Schizosaccharomyces pombe: one gene and its partners. The gene in region 3 interacts genetically with the main gene of each other region. Each region holds a gene or a part of one and is shown on either strand. Other genes may lie near its edges.

Region 1 (5,971 bases), on a different chromosome or scaffold from region 3:
GAATTTCAGAAAAGTTCTCGTTGTCCAAATACATAGTTAAGAGAATTGCCGTTTCTACTTGATTTATCAGCAAACTCATCCAAGGAGAGATTTGCTGCAGTGTTGACTCATCCTTTAAAAAATATTGTAAAAGAGATGGATTGAGGACTAATTTTCGAGATTCAATTTGAATAAAAGGTACTTTCTCATCTGGAGAGGCGTGGTTAGACACATTTAAAAAAACAATTGAAGGGTCGTTTAATTTTGCCCAGGTTTGCCATTGAAGACTATTAACGTCCAGAGCCTCTGAGTTCAAGTCGGAATTCCACATAGTCAAATACATGACTGTTTTCGTTTTGTAATCTTCATTTTCGCCCGGGTAAGGATTAGAAAACGTTATTAAAGGGAAGCGGGAGAAAATGGAATGAAAATAACTCGAAAATTTTGTTAGACCGCCCATCCTTTTCACTTGTCACTAAGTTTGCTAATTCTAAAGAGTTTACACCAATACCATCAATAGTGTGCTTAGCGAAATTGTTAGATTAAGTGGTAAAGCGTGCAATTTCTTCAAATTTCTACCTATATTGTAGTAGGAGAAAATATTCTGTTGTTTCTACTATACCAAGCATTAATTCTGCATACACACTTTTCTATTTTGCGTTGGATTTTCACATCCTCTAATAATCGATAAACTCGACAAAAGATTGTATTTATTTTATTTGACATAAATCATAATATGGATTTGTCTTTATTTTCAGATATCAAGGATGTCGTCGAGAGGGACATGAAAAAAAATTCAAAAGTTGTGGAAAATTCTTCTGCTAGATCACTAAAAAACAAAACAGAGGAAAACAAAACTATTGATAAACATAAAAGTTCCGTTGGTCCTAAGGAACCCAAATCATCATTGGAAAAGCCTAAAGCGAATCGGAAAAGAAAGCAATCGTATGGTTTACTCCATGATATTAAAGAACTCGGAGGTACCGAAGAGGATCTGGAGCTGATTGAAGATGTAGAAAGCGATGAAGAGTTGGAATTCGAAGAACCCAATCGTAAACAACCCAAGAAGGATGGGACTGATGCTGTAAGTCAATATCGATGTTTCTTAATTACTTCTTTCAAAAGGTTCTAATATCCTCTGTTTTAGTTTGCAAATGAGTTGAATTTGTTCGCCAAAAAATTGGGCTTTTCTAAAAACAGCTTTGATGCTCGTGCTCTAGACACTGAGTCAGAAGATGAAACCGAAATCGAAAAAAGTTCGTCTGAAAATTCTGATTCAGTTGATGTCGATTCGGATGATGAGTAAAAAACGCTTGACAACTAGTTTATTTATTTAAAAATTTTCCTTCTTATTATAACTTTATAAGCAATGAGTGTATCTGTTAAAACTGATTGGGGAATCCCAATTTCTCTGTAATCTTCTCGTTCACTTTTCAGATGCCATCACTCATGAGTTGTTTAAACCATCATTCAAGAGGAGTCTTAAGGGAATGTAATGTTTAACTAACATTATACTGAGGGATAGGTTCATACATATTACCTGAAGGAGTTGCAATTGTGTTGGACCTTTATTGCTACACTTTCATTCATTTTAATTATTTGTAAAGTAAGGATAGGAATTTAAGGCGGAGCATTCTTTTTTTATTAAAATAGCGGTCATTACGGGATTAATATAAACATTATATGTCAGTATATATTTCCTTCATCAATTTCGAAGCATTTATGCTTATTTGCATACTAAACCGTTAGTTTAATGTTTGTTTATTTTATTATTAACAGTAAAAGTATCAGGTGTGTTTTAAGAAATATGTTAAAATGAGACAGTGGCCGCATGTGCTTTCTTTACGCGTGTACGCTAGCTACTTCCTCTTATATAATAATCTGCCATTATCCTCTGCCATGGTACATGATGGAGTTCATCTAATTAGTATTAAAACAATTGTAATTATTTCTATTATAACATGATAAATTAAAAGCTAACTGATCAGCCTTGCCCTAACACTATATATTATGCGAAGTATCAGGTTCAGCGAAAGGACAATGAGGATGCTGCTTCCCTCTTAGAAGACAAAGAAGCTTATCTACGAAATCAGGATTGCATTGTTCACGCGAAGAATGACTTACTTTTTGTATATGATTTTCAAGCCATTCCATCTATTCCTGAGGAATCATCTTCTTTTATGCTACTTAATTCAGGTGCATTTTCCAGATTAGCTCTTTTTCAAAAAGATGAATTAGCTCTTCTATTAGACCTGTATATAAACTTTCTTCAAGGATTGAAAAAAACGGTGTTGTATTGGCTGTGCAAAGAATACAACTTTGTTCCAATTTATGGTGTCCTTCTTCCTTTAAAATTACACCCTTCTTTCGATACCCAGCTCTGGAACATATATGGATATCCTGTTGTGGATTTACAGCTTTCTGTCTTATCGAAAGGCCATATAGAATTTTACTTAAAGCCTACAAGGCAGACGGTATATCGTTTGTCGGAAGTGGATAATTTGGTTAAAAAGTTAGACACTGTCATTCGTTTAGCCCCGACTGGTTGTTTGGCAACATTAACCTCTGTGCATGCCAACGCATCTGCTCAAACTGTTGATGCATTGAAACACCGCTATGGATTCTCTCTTACGACTACTTCAAAGTGGGTGGGTGTTACCTTAGAATCTTCGGCATTAGAATTTTCCTGGCCTTTAGAACTTTGCTTTTTGGAAACGTCGGCCCTTCGAATGAATGATGATTCATTATCTAGCAACCTTACAGATTTGAATAACCTAGTCCTCCCTTCAAACGTCGTAAACAATAAAAAGGAATTAACTGAGTTCGCAAATGAAGAAGCGGAAGCTTCAGATAAAAGAAAAGAAGGTTTTACAGAAAAGGAAGAGACTGCTGATGCCGTTGTAACCTTGGTTCCTTCTCATAGTTCTTCTCCCGTTAATTATTCGATAAATTCTGCAAAATCTACACCTGCTTCAATAAAAGTAAATGAAGAGATACTTGTTGCTGATCATAATGTTTCAGATGACATACTAATGGAGGAAATAGACGATGTTGGAATAACAGAGGCTGATTTTGATTACTTTGACTTACCTAACGTTGAAGAAAAAGTTGAGATGATTGAGCCTAATTTTGCAAATACTATGACAACCTTAGATAATGAGGAAATCAACACTTCCATCTCTCAATCAAACACCAGTCCAAATTTGAATACTCACGAAAATATTCCAAAGCAAATGGAAATTCAATCGGATGATAGAATGGTAACCGAAGATTTAAATCCATACAACGTCGAAGTTGATATTCCTGAAATTTCTTTAAATATTTCAGATTCTAAAATCCCTACATCTGCGTATATGCCTTCATACTATTCTGCGGTAATTTTTCCCTCGTCTATCTCCAGTATTTTTCAGAAGTATAACTATGGTGGTAAATATTGGTGCCCTTCTCCTTCTTTGTCAACTGAAGATTTATTTGAATCATTTTCGGTCGCTGAATCGGTAACTAGTACAGATGAAGACATCTGCTCTACAAACTTTATACAACAAGATTTTACAATGGAGTATAATCACGATTTTTTTTCATCTTCTAAAACACCCACTAATATCTCAGAACAAAGTAACCCCGATTCAAATTATGATACGCTATCGTTAGCACATCAGGTTCTTATGAATGAATCCAAGTCAGCAAATTTTGATTTCAGTTTTTTAAAATCGTTAGATTTACAACCCACTATTACCTTGGGAAAAAATGACTTGTTAAACGCTATTTTGTCTCAAAACTTATGGTTTAGATCGTTACCTTTTTGGAAAAGCATGACTACCAGTTTCATGATGTCTCAAGATGTTTTAAACTTTTCTTCGTACATGCGGAAGCCTATTAGGGATTATTTAGAGAAAATATTGTTAGGTGAAAGTTCGGCTGTTTTCTTGAGCAAAAGCCCAGAAAATTATCTGTCCTCGATTAATAACGGGCATCACGCATTAAATGACAATCCTCCATCCCAAGTTAACTTTTCTGAAACGTTGGTAAACTTCTCCCAACCTCCTCGTGTTTTGCTCAAATACAACGAAAAAAAGTTGTCTTTAGATTCTTCGGCACCAGAGAATTGGATATCTTTATGTCTTCAACCGTATGGTGAGAGCAAAGATTTTGAAGTTTTTTTGCTCTCTTCCAAATCTCCCGACGTAAGCAGCAAGGCTATCAGCTTTTTTTATGATGTTCAGCTGGCTTATGAAAACTGCAAACTTGGAAAACTGAATTTATCTGAAACTTCTATTAACGAAAGAGTGATGGGATTCAGTACAAATATTAATGAAACAGATAATTATGATGATAATGAAACAACTCAAAGCGATACAGCAACCTCTTATGAACAACTAGCGAGTGTTTGTGTTAATGAATTAAGCGGAAAAAACGTACTTTTTTTTTATTTTTTAGAAGATGATTCCGAAAAACTTTTAAAGGCTTGTCAACATTTTATATGCGTAAAGGACTCAATCAAGAGACTTGGGGATAATAAATTTGAAGATAAATCATTACGAATATGCACGATTCCGAATTCTATTTTTGATTCACCCAACTCGCATACTACAAATTCGAACTCTTTTTTTACAAAAGTTTCACTCGACATTTATAATAATGATCCTTTATTGATGGATGGTTCATTAAAGAGACGTGAACCGGCTTTTCTCCTGAAAAAGCCCTTGTTATCAACTCTTAACTATCAGCTTAAAGATATTAATCCCAGATCTTCAGCTTTGGGAGAGTATGCGCTACATGTAACGTATACAACTGTCGAAGAGCACTTGCTTATTTGCAATTGGAATGATTCCTATGGAGAATTTGAAACTGAGAGACGCTATTTTCTCCAAGACCTTGAAATTGAAGATGCTTTACAGCAAATTTTAGAAGTCACATTTACGTTCCTTAACTCAATGCACATGGATTGGATAGTAATCGTCATGAAGATTGGTGAGATGTCTGACGCAGAGTATCTGTTTTGGGATCAAGCAATAATACCTGAAAACTTACAAGGCAATGTTTCTCTTACAGTTGGTTACTGCTCAGCAGAGCACGGACCTGGCTCAACTTCGAAAGTGTTTTCAAGGATTCCATATTCGGCTTCAAGCACAGTTATTCGTAATAATAGTAGTCATGAGCTCTCTTTGGTTGCGTTTATCCGAGAAATGGCAATGCCTGTGCCGAACGATGAATTTAAGAAAATTTCTACAATCTTAGCTAGAGGATACTTAGCATTAGACGAGGACGAATCTTATTTACCACTGTTAAGCATTCATCTTTTGATATCTCGAAATCATGATCCTTATTTAATGTTAAATCTTATTTTAAAACATTATTTAAGTATGATTTATTTACAGTTTCGAACGTATGTTTCTTTTTCTTCACTCCCATTACACATTTCTACCGTTTTATACCAGAAGCAACTATTGCAGTTTATGGCATCAGACATTACACATCCTGTGACCTCTTAGTTTTTGGGGTATTATTAATTTATACAGTATAAGTTTATAATGCGCTTGTGCCAAAATTGGTTTACTCTTGTTATCGTTTTTGTTTACTAGATTGGGAAGGTTGACATAGTGAAAACACAGTGTTTGTTTACTGTCGACTATTTCATATTCCGCCATTTTTAACCATGAAATTAGCCAACGCAAAACATAATGAAGAAACATAAGTCCTCAATTAAGTGTTTTAAGATTGACCAAATATCTCAACAACCTGAAACCGATTTGGTTTTTACTAAAAGGTCGGAATGCAAAGTAAAAGATGAGCTATTTTCAGATAAGGAAAACTCAATCTTATGTAAACAGTTGAAGGAATTAGATTTAGTTGTTTCTTCAAACAAAGAGTTTCTAAACGAAAAGACATCGGATCAAATTTCGTTTTTGAAACCAAGAGAAACAGTAGTTGAAAAAAAATTAGCAAATGGGAGTATTTGGCCTAATGAAACTTCCCATTTAGATAAATCTAG
Region 2 (4,087 bases), on a different chromosome or scaffold from region 3:
TCTTAATGTACAAGTAATCTGGTACTTATTATGTGAGTGAAAAACAAACAAGGACAAGAATAAGATAAAAAGGATTCGTAATCGTGAAGATATGATTAATAAATTAACCATTTTGCAAATCACATATACACAGCTTGAACAACGTATAATCAAATATAGTAAGTTCGGAACAGGTGAAAAATTAGCGGATATTAAAGCCCAAAAAAAAACAACAATGCTTGCATTCAATAATGGGAAGACCAACAGACTTTAGATTGGGGAAAAATTACTTAGCATCAACAAGCTTCTGATCCCTACAAGCTTCGCAATACCATGTACCTTCAGGAGGAGCTTTAAGACCAACACACTCCATATGGAACCATTCACGCTCACAATTAGCATTGTCACAAGCGACCATTTGCCCATATGATCCTTGCTGGCAAAAACAATACTTTTCATTATCCTCTTCCATATCTTCTTCTGAGACCATTTCATTCGGCGTTGTGGAATCTGCCTTAGTTTCTAACTGGGTGGTTGCAGTGGCATTCGAAACCTTCTGACCGCGAGTTGAACCAGAATCTGCCAACGAAGCCGTATAAGGAGAGTGATAGACTCCATTTTGAATTGCACCCCTGGTAGTTGCTGAAGTACGACGGCGACCAGCTGTTGAGGCTCCCGACCGAGAAGGGGCCGGTGTTTGACGAGCACTTGAGGCACCACTTGGACTGTATCCACCATACGGTGAAGAAGCATAGTAGTCAGGAGCATTTAACAATTCCGCAGCTGTAAATCCATGACCGGCCTTTGCAAGTCTATCATCCAATCGCTTTATGTGCCGTGTAAGTCCCAATCTGGCACGATCCGCCAACTGGACTTTCTCGTTCTGTATATTAATTGCCTTTTGATACTCCTCGCGAATCGTCGAATACAAAGCATCTTCTTTTGGATGTGGGGTCAAGGAACCATGTGATTTAATGTATGACTGAATCTGAGAATCAGCTGCTTGAATTCTCTTCCAGATGTCATGTACAGCAACTTCCTTCACACTAATTTCGTCAAAGATGTGTTTTGTTTCGTTGGGAACATTATCCAACGTTTGCAAATACTCACTTAGTATGTAAGCTGTATCATCTGCCATTATTCTCAAATTGAAAATTATAGATACGTTCTAATTTCCGCTTTATGCAAAAATTATTATTATGATTTCAAATTCCAAAAGAAAGGGAGATTTGAGTCTTTTAAAGAGATAGGGAAAGTTGATATTCCACTAATATTTTCGATACTTCAATAACTAATGAATAAAAGATACTATGACTTTATCTTTTAAAGTAGAGGAATGTGACAATAAATGTACAAACGAGAAGGACAAAGACACTAATTGAAATAATATATATGAACCTATGGCTCGTTTTTGTGTCGTTTAAAGATTATTTTTACACTCTCTTAAGCTGCTGAAAATTTTTCCGGTTGTTTATAGTAGCCCACATTTGGTGTTGAGTTCCGCCACTCCATATAATGTAAACACAGTACTGGAAGGCAAAGAGGGCGAAATAAAAACATAAGAATTCACGCAAACCAAATCACTTTGAAGATAAATCTTTTCAACGTATGTATGATATCTAAGTTGCCAAATTGTCTATGAATTCACATGCTAAAGGTTACCATCTGTTTAAGTAATAACGATACGTTATTAATGTGTTAGTTCATATATGGAAGCATAACATACTAAACTACACCTAAGTTGGTAGCTTCCTTCTGTGTTCACTGAGATATACATTTTTAAGTTATAAGAATGAACCAGCACTAGCAATTCTTCAAAAAATTGTAAATCCTATTTGTTCTTGTGTTTATGGGCTTCAAAGAGTTTGAATTAACGCTTTGTTGAAGTTGTACATTTTATCTAATAAGGTATCGGGTTTAGCGACCTTTTGCTACGTATTCTGCGCTCGACGTAAAAATAAAGTATTTACAGTTCGTGTTGCTGTTTATTATTTGGATTGAATTCTTTTCTATAAAAAAATCTGGGTTGTTTTTCGATTTATATTAATTTGGCATTGGTCAATAACTTTCATTTCTCTTGTTTCTTCTGAAACAGTTATTAATTTGTTTCTTAATTTTATTTATTCTTTTCTTGTTCTTTCTTTAGAAAAGATATTTTCATTTAATTTGTCTCGCGGTTTTTTTTAGTATAATAGTCTGTATATCATGGATACTCCTGAGACATCCACACCTTATGAACAAGTTGAAAAGGGGTCTTTTTTTAGCTTTCGACCTCAAAAAAAGCGTGTCACATATCACTTAGATGAACAGGTGGGAAACTACCACTATGGTGACAAACATCCAATGAAGCCCCATCGAATTACCATTACAAATCATTTAGTGATGGGTTATGGGTTGCATAACAAAATGAGTGTATTCAGCCCCCGGATGGCAACTTTTGGTGAAATGTCAGAATTTCATAGGGAGGATTATTTGGATTTCCTTAAGCGCGTTACTCCTGATAATGCTGAACAATTTGCTGATAAGTTCCAACAATTCAATATTGGTGATGACTGTCCGGTCTTTGACGGCACTTATGAATTTTCTCAAAGGTCGGCAGGCGCTAGTTTGGATGCTTCTCGGAAGTTAGTGCAAGGTCAAACAGACATTGCTATCAATTGGAGCGGTGGTCTCCATCATGCAAAGCGTGGTGAGGCTAGTGGATTCTGCTATGTTAATGATATTGTTCTAGCAATTTTGAACATGCTACGGTTTTTTCCTCGCGTTTTGTATATCGATATCGATATTCATCATGGAGATGGTGTGCAGCAAGCATTCTATGAATCTGACCGCGTGTTGACGGTTTCTTTTCACAAGTATAATGGTGATTTTTTTCCTGCAACTGGTAATTTTGATGAAAATGGCGTGAAAGGAGGGAAATATTTTGCTTTAAACGTTCCTTTGGAAGATGGTATTGGTGATGAACAGTACACTAGTCTTTTCAAATCCATAATTGAACCAACTATCAATACTTTTCAACCTTCTGCAATTGTCCTTCAGTGTGGTGCTGATTCGCTTGGTTATGATCGGCTCGGCGTGTTCAATCTGAGCATCCATGCACATGGGGAATGTGTTAGATTTACCCGTTCATTCAATATACCCATGCTTGTAGTTGGAGGTGGTGGTTATACTCTTAGAAATGTTGCTAGAGCGTGGTGTTATGAAACTTCCATATGTGTAAACGAACAAATACCTTCAGAATTACCTCGTGAAACTTTGTATTACGAATTTTTCGCACCAGATTACACCCTCCATCCGCGATTAACCACGAAGATAGAAAATAAAAATACACCGAAAGCTCTTGAAGATCTTCGAATACGGGCCTTGGAGCAATTACGTTACTTAGGAGGAGCGCCAAGCGTTCAGATGCAGCAAATTCCACCAGACTTAACTGGGCATTTGGAAGAAGAAGACGAACGGTTGAATGATGAATACTTAGACAAAGCTGTGGATGTTCGCGTTCGAGGCTGATATTAATGAATTTTCGACTTTTTATTTGATATCCGTACAAACATCAAATAATTTTAGTTAATGTTTATAGACATTGTAAATATTAATAATTGACCCTATACGAAAATACGTTTACCATAGTGATTATGTATTATTTTTATAAACGATTATGCAAAAAAAAACACTAAATTTATTCCTCTTTGTCTAAACGAACTGCAGGGCTAGCCTCAATTAGGTCCAAGTTAACCTTAGGACCAATCAATTGTCTAATGTCGGCCACACCATATTTGATCATAGTGGGGCGCTCTAAAGAAAGACCAAAACCTAAACAACGAACATCTTTAGGTAATCCCATAGGCTCTAACATCTCCGGACGGAACATGCCGCTGTTTCCGACTTCAACCCACTTACCAAGCTTTTCGTGGTAGGAAAAGACTTCCAATGAAGGTTCAGTATAAGGATTATAAGCAGGTTTGAAGCGCAAATTTTTAACGTTCATTTTTCCAAAGAACACCTCAAGGAAACCGATCAAATCACCGAGGGTAATATTTCTATCGCAGATTACGCCTTCGACTTGATGAAATTCGGCAAGATGAGTTGCGTCAACGGTTTCATTGCG
Region 3 (6,468 bases):
TTAAAACACTCAATGCTTGCGTATCATCGCATCCCTTCCAAATACATTTGGTTCAGGTATTTGTTTACATCGTCTTTAGCCTTTCCAGTATGACTGTGGAATCAAAGTCATAACGAAAAACATAGAAAATTATTTTCATAAATGTTTTTTTTTACAAAATAGAGAAACTCATAAACGCGGAAATAGACTATTTACTCTTTCCAATATTGTGGCTTTCTGCGCGGACTAAATACAAATTACCCTACCCATTATCTCGCTTAACGGTATGCACCTTTTCATTAAACAATAATAACGGCGCGTAAACTTTTGGTAAATACAATAACGTATTACGTTAAATTTCGAAATAGAGGTTTTCTTTCAGTCTTTTCCACACTACAAGTACATGTCTTTATTACAAAAAGGCGTTCTTTCAATCTTGAATAGCCATTGAATCTTTGTATTACTTTAGCTTTTTTTCCCTTTTATTAAGTTTTCTTTCAAAGCAATTGTTTTTGGATTCGCAAACTCCATATTATCGGGTTTCTCTTTTTTTGTTCGTGGGTAATTAGGCTTCATTTTATTTATTATCAATCATCAATTCAAAAGTTTTTTTCGTTTAAGAAATTTTAACATCCCTTTTCTATTTTTATCGGGTTGTATCGGATTTTGTTTATTAACCCAATTCTGATTGTGTATTTTCATCCTCTTTCTCCATTATTTGTGATTCCTCCTTTATCATCGGTCTGTAATGGAAACAACTGAAGGAAAAAATGACTTACGAGCAAAGCTTGCTGAAAAGATTCAGACATTTCGCTCTCAAAGAAAAGCTACTGAAAAAGTAGACCGTGCTCTACTTTTACAGCGCAGAAAAGAAAAGGCAAAAGCTCGTGCTGAAGCGAAGAAGTTAGCTAAAAAGGAGTCAAAGGCTAAACAGGAATCAAAAGTGGCAGCTTATGACACTGGGAACTCTTCTGATAACATTGCTGACGAGGAAAATGACAACCACAAGAGCACTATTACTTATGGTACTTTAATAGTCGGAGATGACAAATTCTCGAATGGTAAACTAAAAGTTGCCGGAAAAAAGCGAGGTCCTACTGATGTCTTTGGCGCTCTAAAGCATTTGGAAGCCAAGAAACGCCGTATTGAAAGCATGGACGAAGAGAAAAGGAGAAAAATTGAAGAAAGTGATAAATGGCATAGAGTTTTGCTTCAGGCAGAAGGGAAAAAACTCAAAGATAACGAGCAATTGCTTAAAAAGAGCATTCGTCGCAAAGAAAAGGAAAAGAAAAAGTCTTCAGACGCTTGGAAGGAAAGGAAGGACAACGAAAAAAAAGCAATGTTAATGCGGCAGCAACGTAGAGAAGAAAATTTGAAAAAACGTAGAGAAAGTAAAAAGTCTAAGAAGGGGAAGGCACCAAAAAAGAAGAAGCCATCCAAGAAAAAATAGACGCTTAACTTTAAATTTGTTCAAAAATTATACTGGTCTGTTGGGATTTAATGGTTAACAAGGAGGTTTGGGTTTAAATAGCTTTTTTTGTCATTTGATTATGAATGAATACATAAATTTACTCATACAAACAGTAACACTGAAACAAAATTCTGCCTTAAAAAAGAAATAGATAATCAATGCGGTGTGATGATAATTGCTTTTTATTAACGAAAAAAATATGATATAAAAATAATATACAGAAATCGATTGACAGATCTTCAGGTCACTACATATGTATAATTATGGGATGCTACTAGTTGGAATTGATTTCTCTGGTTCAGCTTGATGTTCATCAACGGGTAAGGATGCATTCTGAGAAAGAACGATGCTTACTTGTTGAGTAGGTTTCGAAACGACAGAAGCATTGCCCTGATCAATAGGTAGGGAGGTCGAAGGTTTGAGTTCCTCCGTAGAAGGATTAGTTAAAGCACTTGGAGGAGAAATGTGCTCATTAACAGTAGCGGGAGAATGCTTTGGTTCAGAGAGAGGTGGTATAGGGGGTGTAGATGTAAGAGGTGTCTCAAGTTTAACAGCCTTTTTGGTATTTTCTCCCGTACTTTGTTTGGGCACTGAAGAGGATGTCTTTTTTGTGGCTTTCTCTTTGCTTTTCGTTGTTTTTGCTTCCTTCTTAGAGACATCCTTGGGAACCTTTGCATTTTCCCGTTTTGCCTCTTTTAAAGCATTCTTAGCAGCCATTTCAATGGACAAAGTCCTTAATGGCTGCTCGTCCTCAGATTCAATATCCCTACTATCGTCAAAGCTAGCATCCGCTGAAGCCACCACCGCAGAGACAGCTGGCGCAGGGTGTGTAGCATTGGATAAAGATGTTTTCTTCTTTTTCTTAGTCTTCTTTGATCTTTCGATTTTCACAGTATCTCCTTCGGCCACGAGTGGACCGCTAAATACAAAAAATCCATCTTTGGTAGCGGCAGCCTTCTCTTCAATGTAGAGCTCAGCATCATCAATAAAGGGATCTGTTCTATCGTAGTATTCGTCAGCGTACCTCCTTTTCCTTTTCTTTTTCTTTATGGTCTGTGTACCATCGGCCGCCCCATTAGCTGCTTGTTGCTCATCAACATGTGTACTTTCGCCCTCAGAATCCGCTGAGTCTGAAAGATCATTTTTTTTTGAATTCTCCTGAACAGAGGGTCCATAAAGTTTTTCCACTTCTTTTGCAAAATTAATATGTACGTTTTCTTTGCCTTGCAAAGGAATTTCCAAGCAAATAATTCGTTGGTCGCCAGACAAAAGCGACATGACGAACAAAAGCGAAGTATAGTGAAAACGTAGAAGAAAAAATTTGCAAGGAAAAGTAATCCTAACAAGCGAAAATGGTAGTTTTAATTACAATTGAGTCCAAGACTTAGTGCCGTCGTTTCACTGAATCCAATGGATAAGTTAATAGAAATTTTCAATTCAAGAGCACTCTTAACAATTGAACAAGGCTAAGAGTTGATAGCATTAAAGAAACAAACTGCAGACCAAAAAATGAGAAATTGGACGCTTGCACTTTTTTGTAACTGAATAAATGATAAGTTCTGCGACGCTGCGTCAAATTTCTATAAGAGAGTGCAACAACAAGTGATTGAACTAGAAGCAACAAAAAATGCAAAGTGGTTAAATGATAAACAATAATTTGATTAGGAGGATGGTAAAGTAATACTTTATTTGGTAATAACTTTGAAACGAGTACGAACAATTCCCACAGTATGGGGATAGATCAAGTAAATAGCACGTTATAATGCAACTTATACTGAACAACATTAGCGCAGCAATCCTCACTTTCTTAAAAGTAAAGGGCAAAAAAGAATGCTCCTGGTGAGGCTCGAACTCACGACCTTCCCCTGTCATTATATGAGAGGGATGCTACCACCGACTGAGCTACAGAAGCTTGTGGTACACAGAAAAAAGTTACATTATATATAGGGTAAATTTATTAATTATATGAAGAGATAAATTATCATTTCTAATTACTATACGTATATATGAGTTTGGAGATTTTCAATGGAAAGAAAGGAATGAAAATGATTAATTGATCTGAATTTTTTGTTTTTAAGGAAAACTTTATTCATGGAAATTGGGTATTCAGTTGGCATTGCTTTATCAATACTCCACTACTAAGTAAAGAAAACTGTTCATGTGTGCACAGTATCATGACTACAGAACTGTATGAATGGGAAATTGTCATTTTAATCATTTAAGCTCTTAATAAACAAATTGTACTCAATATAAGCTTACTTCTCATAATCATTTCTCCTAAATAGCTAGCTGCTCCCCAATTCGTTATTCCCTTTCTACTGCAGGTCGCATTCATTGTAGTATAGACATTTGCGACTCTATCGAAGAATAAAGTCATAACATCCTAGGAATTTTTTTTCAACGAATATTTTTATTCGTAATTTTCTAGATTACAACTCCTGATCTACCAAGGCAAAAAGAAACCATCGTTTGCTTTAGTGCCAACAAAACATATACAGCAGTGGTTTATAGTATATTGTGGTTTTCGTTACAACTCACCATCCTTTTATTAAAAATTTAGCAGGAAGTGGTAGTTAGTTCATTTTTTTGATTTTTAGAAAAATTCATGTCGAATACACATTTGTTAAAGAAAGTTAACGAATTATTGATTCAGCCGGTGAACCAGAAATTACCCGACATCTCTTTTTCTTTCGTTGTGTGATTATAACAGTGCTTCAGACATATTTTGTTCGTCTATTATTCGACTTTTAGAATGTAAACATGTGAATACGCAAACCTGCTATTGTACGAGGAATTTATTTGCTCAGTGTACGAGACCCTGGCCTTTTTCATCACTAATACTTGGCTACGCATTGCTCCTGCTGTCATACGGAATTTCGAACAAACCAGATGCAAAATGCATTTCGTAGCCACATTACAAGTTTAGGGGTGAATTAGCAAAAAATAAGTCGTTAGCTATATGAACTTGCTGCATCTAGAATACCAATAGGCAATGAAAAGAGCTATGCCGTCTAAGGAGAAAATTTCTGTAACTGACATGGAAATAATTAATCAGTGGACGTTGCACTTTACTTAATGTTTACGTAAAAAACCGATAAACGAAAATTTATCGAAGAAATACTAATATTTAGAGTCCAAAAAAAAGACATAAAAGGATGGTCTTCACCGAAAATCCAAACAATTTCATCGAACTCTTTCTGTCTTCAAGGAGTTATACATTGTAAAGCACTATACAAACTATTTTTAACTCAAAAATGCCTGCTAAAACTAGAAATGTCTTAATTGCTTGCTCTGATTATTATGGACCATTTTATAAAGATGGTGAGAATACTGGAGCATTTTTTTTAGAATTGTTACATCCTTATTTGGTATTTAGAGATGCTTGTTTCAATGTTGACATTGTTACTGAATCAGGGAAAATCCAATTCGATGATCATTCAGTAGCAGGTCCGGCAATTGACAAGGGATCTAAGGGTGAAGAGTTTTTGAGCTATGATGATCACATCGCAAGTGGCCCTGAGCTATCCAAAGCTGAAAAATATGTTTTGGAAAATAAGGATGATATGTTTTGGAGGATTGTGCAAAATTCCAAAACCGCCGACGAAGTGAATCCTGACAAGTATGACATTTTCTTCGTAGCAGGAGGACATGCCACTCTATTTGATTTTCCAAAAGCTACAAATTTGCAAAAACTTGGTACTTCCATTTATGAAAATGGGGGAGTAGTAGCTGCCGTGTGCCATGGTCCTACATTACTTCCATTCATGAAGCGTCAAACGTCCGACGGCTCTGTTTCAATTGTCTGTGGTAAAGATGTTACCGCCTTCGATAGGGTGGCCGAGGATAAATCCAAACTTATGGAAGCGCTGAAAAAATACAACTTGGAGGTTTTGGACGATATGTTGAATGATGCAGGAGCCAACTTTATCAAGTCACCAAACCCATTCGGTGATTTTGTAATAGCAGATGGAAGATTAGTTACTGGTTCCAATCCTGCAAGTGCTACATCTACGGCGAAAACGGCTTTGCGTGTTTTGTAAAGCGAAACGATAATAAAGCTATTGGATAATGAGTCTTTTTAAACGATTAATTTGAACGTATGATGAAATTTATGTATACAGGAAAAATTAATGATGCGAACATAATTTGACGCCGATGAATAATAACACTCAAAATCATTGATGATATTTAAAGTGGATTACATACACTAGAAATGAATAAGATTGAATATATACTATAAAAAAAAATTTGTCAGAATTTTTCAAAAAAACGATTTCACATTTATGAATCTATATTGATATATACTTTCATTCATCTGTAAATACAAAACACCGTAGCAACAAGCAACAGTACCACAAATCGCTCCTTCGAACACTTTCAAGTTTTTCTGCCATGACCTTCTTTATGGAAGACTTTTCCATCTATACTTATAAGAACATCGCCTCTGAATAGATACAGCTACTTATTCAACTGAAAAAGAAATTTACATTTCTTTAAAAATTGGGGAATCGTTTAATATTTCCTAAACTTAGTTAACGTAAACGAGCGTTTGCAAAGCCTAAACTCGGCTACTGTCATTGCCGGTTTTTTTTAGTGACACGTTAGATTGCAGTATCATTTGCATTGCATTAATTATAAGTATAAACAGTATATTTAGATAACCTCGAAATGTATATATTTATGTATCACGGAGATTTTGTTTAGTATTATAATCTACGTAAGACCACGGAAAGCAAATTTGTTTGCATTTTAATCAAAACCATTTTTATAAATAGAAGCAAAAATGTTGTTTAAATGTTCATTTACTGCATTATTAGGTACATTCCCATGGAGTGTCTGGCTATAACGATAGATAACGCAATTTACCACAGTTCTTTGAAGCACTGTTGGCAAATTTACGCTGAGGTGGGCTTTTAAATTCGTTAAATAATTTAAGCTCTTAAGTTTGTAGATCCCTATACAAAAGCGAGACTCAATAACCAACTAGGGCAAATTCAATTCACCAAGAACCTTAAACA

The links. Genes that interact genetically often act in the same process or in processes that back each other up.
Region 1: mutations in hip4 (region 3) and med13 together harm fitness more than expected from each alone (negative genetic interaction), as found in Schizosaccharomyces pombe (2 studies listed by BioGRID).
Region 2: mutations in hip4 (region 3) and hos2 together harm fitness more than expected from each alone (negative genetic interaction), as found in Schizosaccharomyces pombe (2 studies listed by BioGRID).

What each region holds. Positions count from the first base shown.
Region 1 is NC_003424.3:3,094,575-3,100,545, reverse strand, and holds med13 (mediator complex subunit Med13), read left to right. Parts: upstream 1-1,878; coding exon 1,879-1,920; intron 1,921-1,955; coding exon 1,956-5,471; downstream 5,472-5,971. Other genes in the region: mtx2 (metaxin 1), read right to left, coding at 1-439; protein Noc12, read left to right, coding at 716-1,063, 1,127-1,285; protein mug74, read left to right, coding at 5,661-5,971. UniProt on the Schizosaccharomyces pombe protein: Component of the srb8-11 complex. The srb8-11 complex is a regulatory module of the Mediator complex which is itself involved in regulation of basal and activated RNA polymerase II-dependent transcription.
Region 2 is NC_003424.3:3,167,926-3,172,012, forward strand, and holds hos2 (class 1 histone deacetylase Hos2), read left to right. Parts: upstream 1-1,745; 5' UTR 1,746-2,184; coding exon 2,185-3,489; 3' UTR 3,490-3,587; downstream 3,588-4,087. Other genes in the region: png1 (chromatin modification-related protein), read right to left, coding at 266-1,117; phenylalanine--tRNA (Phe) ligase alpha subunit Frs2, read right to left, coding at 3,659-4,087.
Region 3 is NC_003423.3:655,345-661,812, reverse strand, and holds hip4 (histone H3.3-H4 chaperone, HIR complex subunit Hip4), read right to left. Parts: upstream 3,189-6,468; 5' UTR 2,729-3,188; coding exon 1,712-2,728; 3' UTR 1,582-1,711; downstream 1-1,581. Other genes in the region: rrp1402 (ribosome biogenesis protein Rrp14-C), read left to right, coding at 728-1,429; hsp3103 (ThiJ domain protein, glyoxylase III), read left to right, coding at 4,705-5,490. UniProt on the Schizosaccharomyces pombe protein: Component of the HIR complex, which functions as a histone chaperone that cooperates with cia1/asf1 to promote replication-independent chromatin assembly.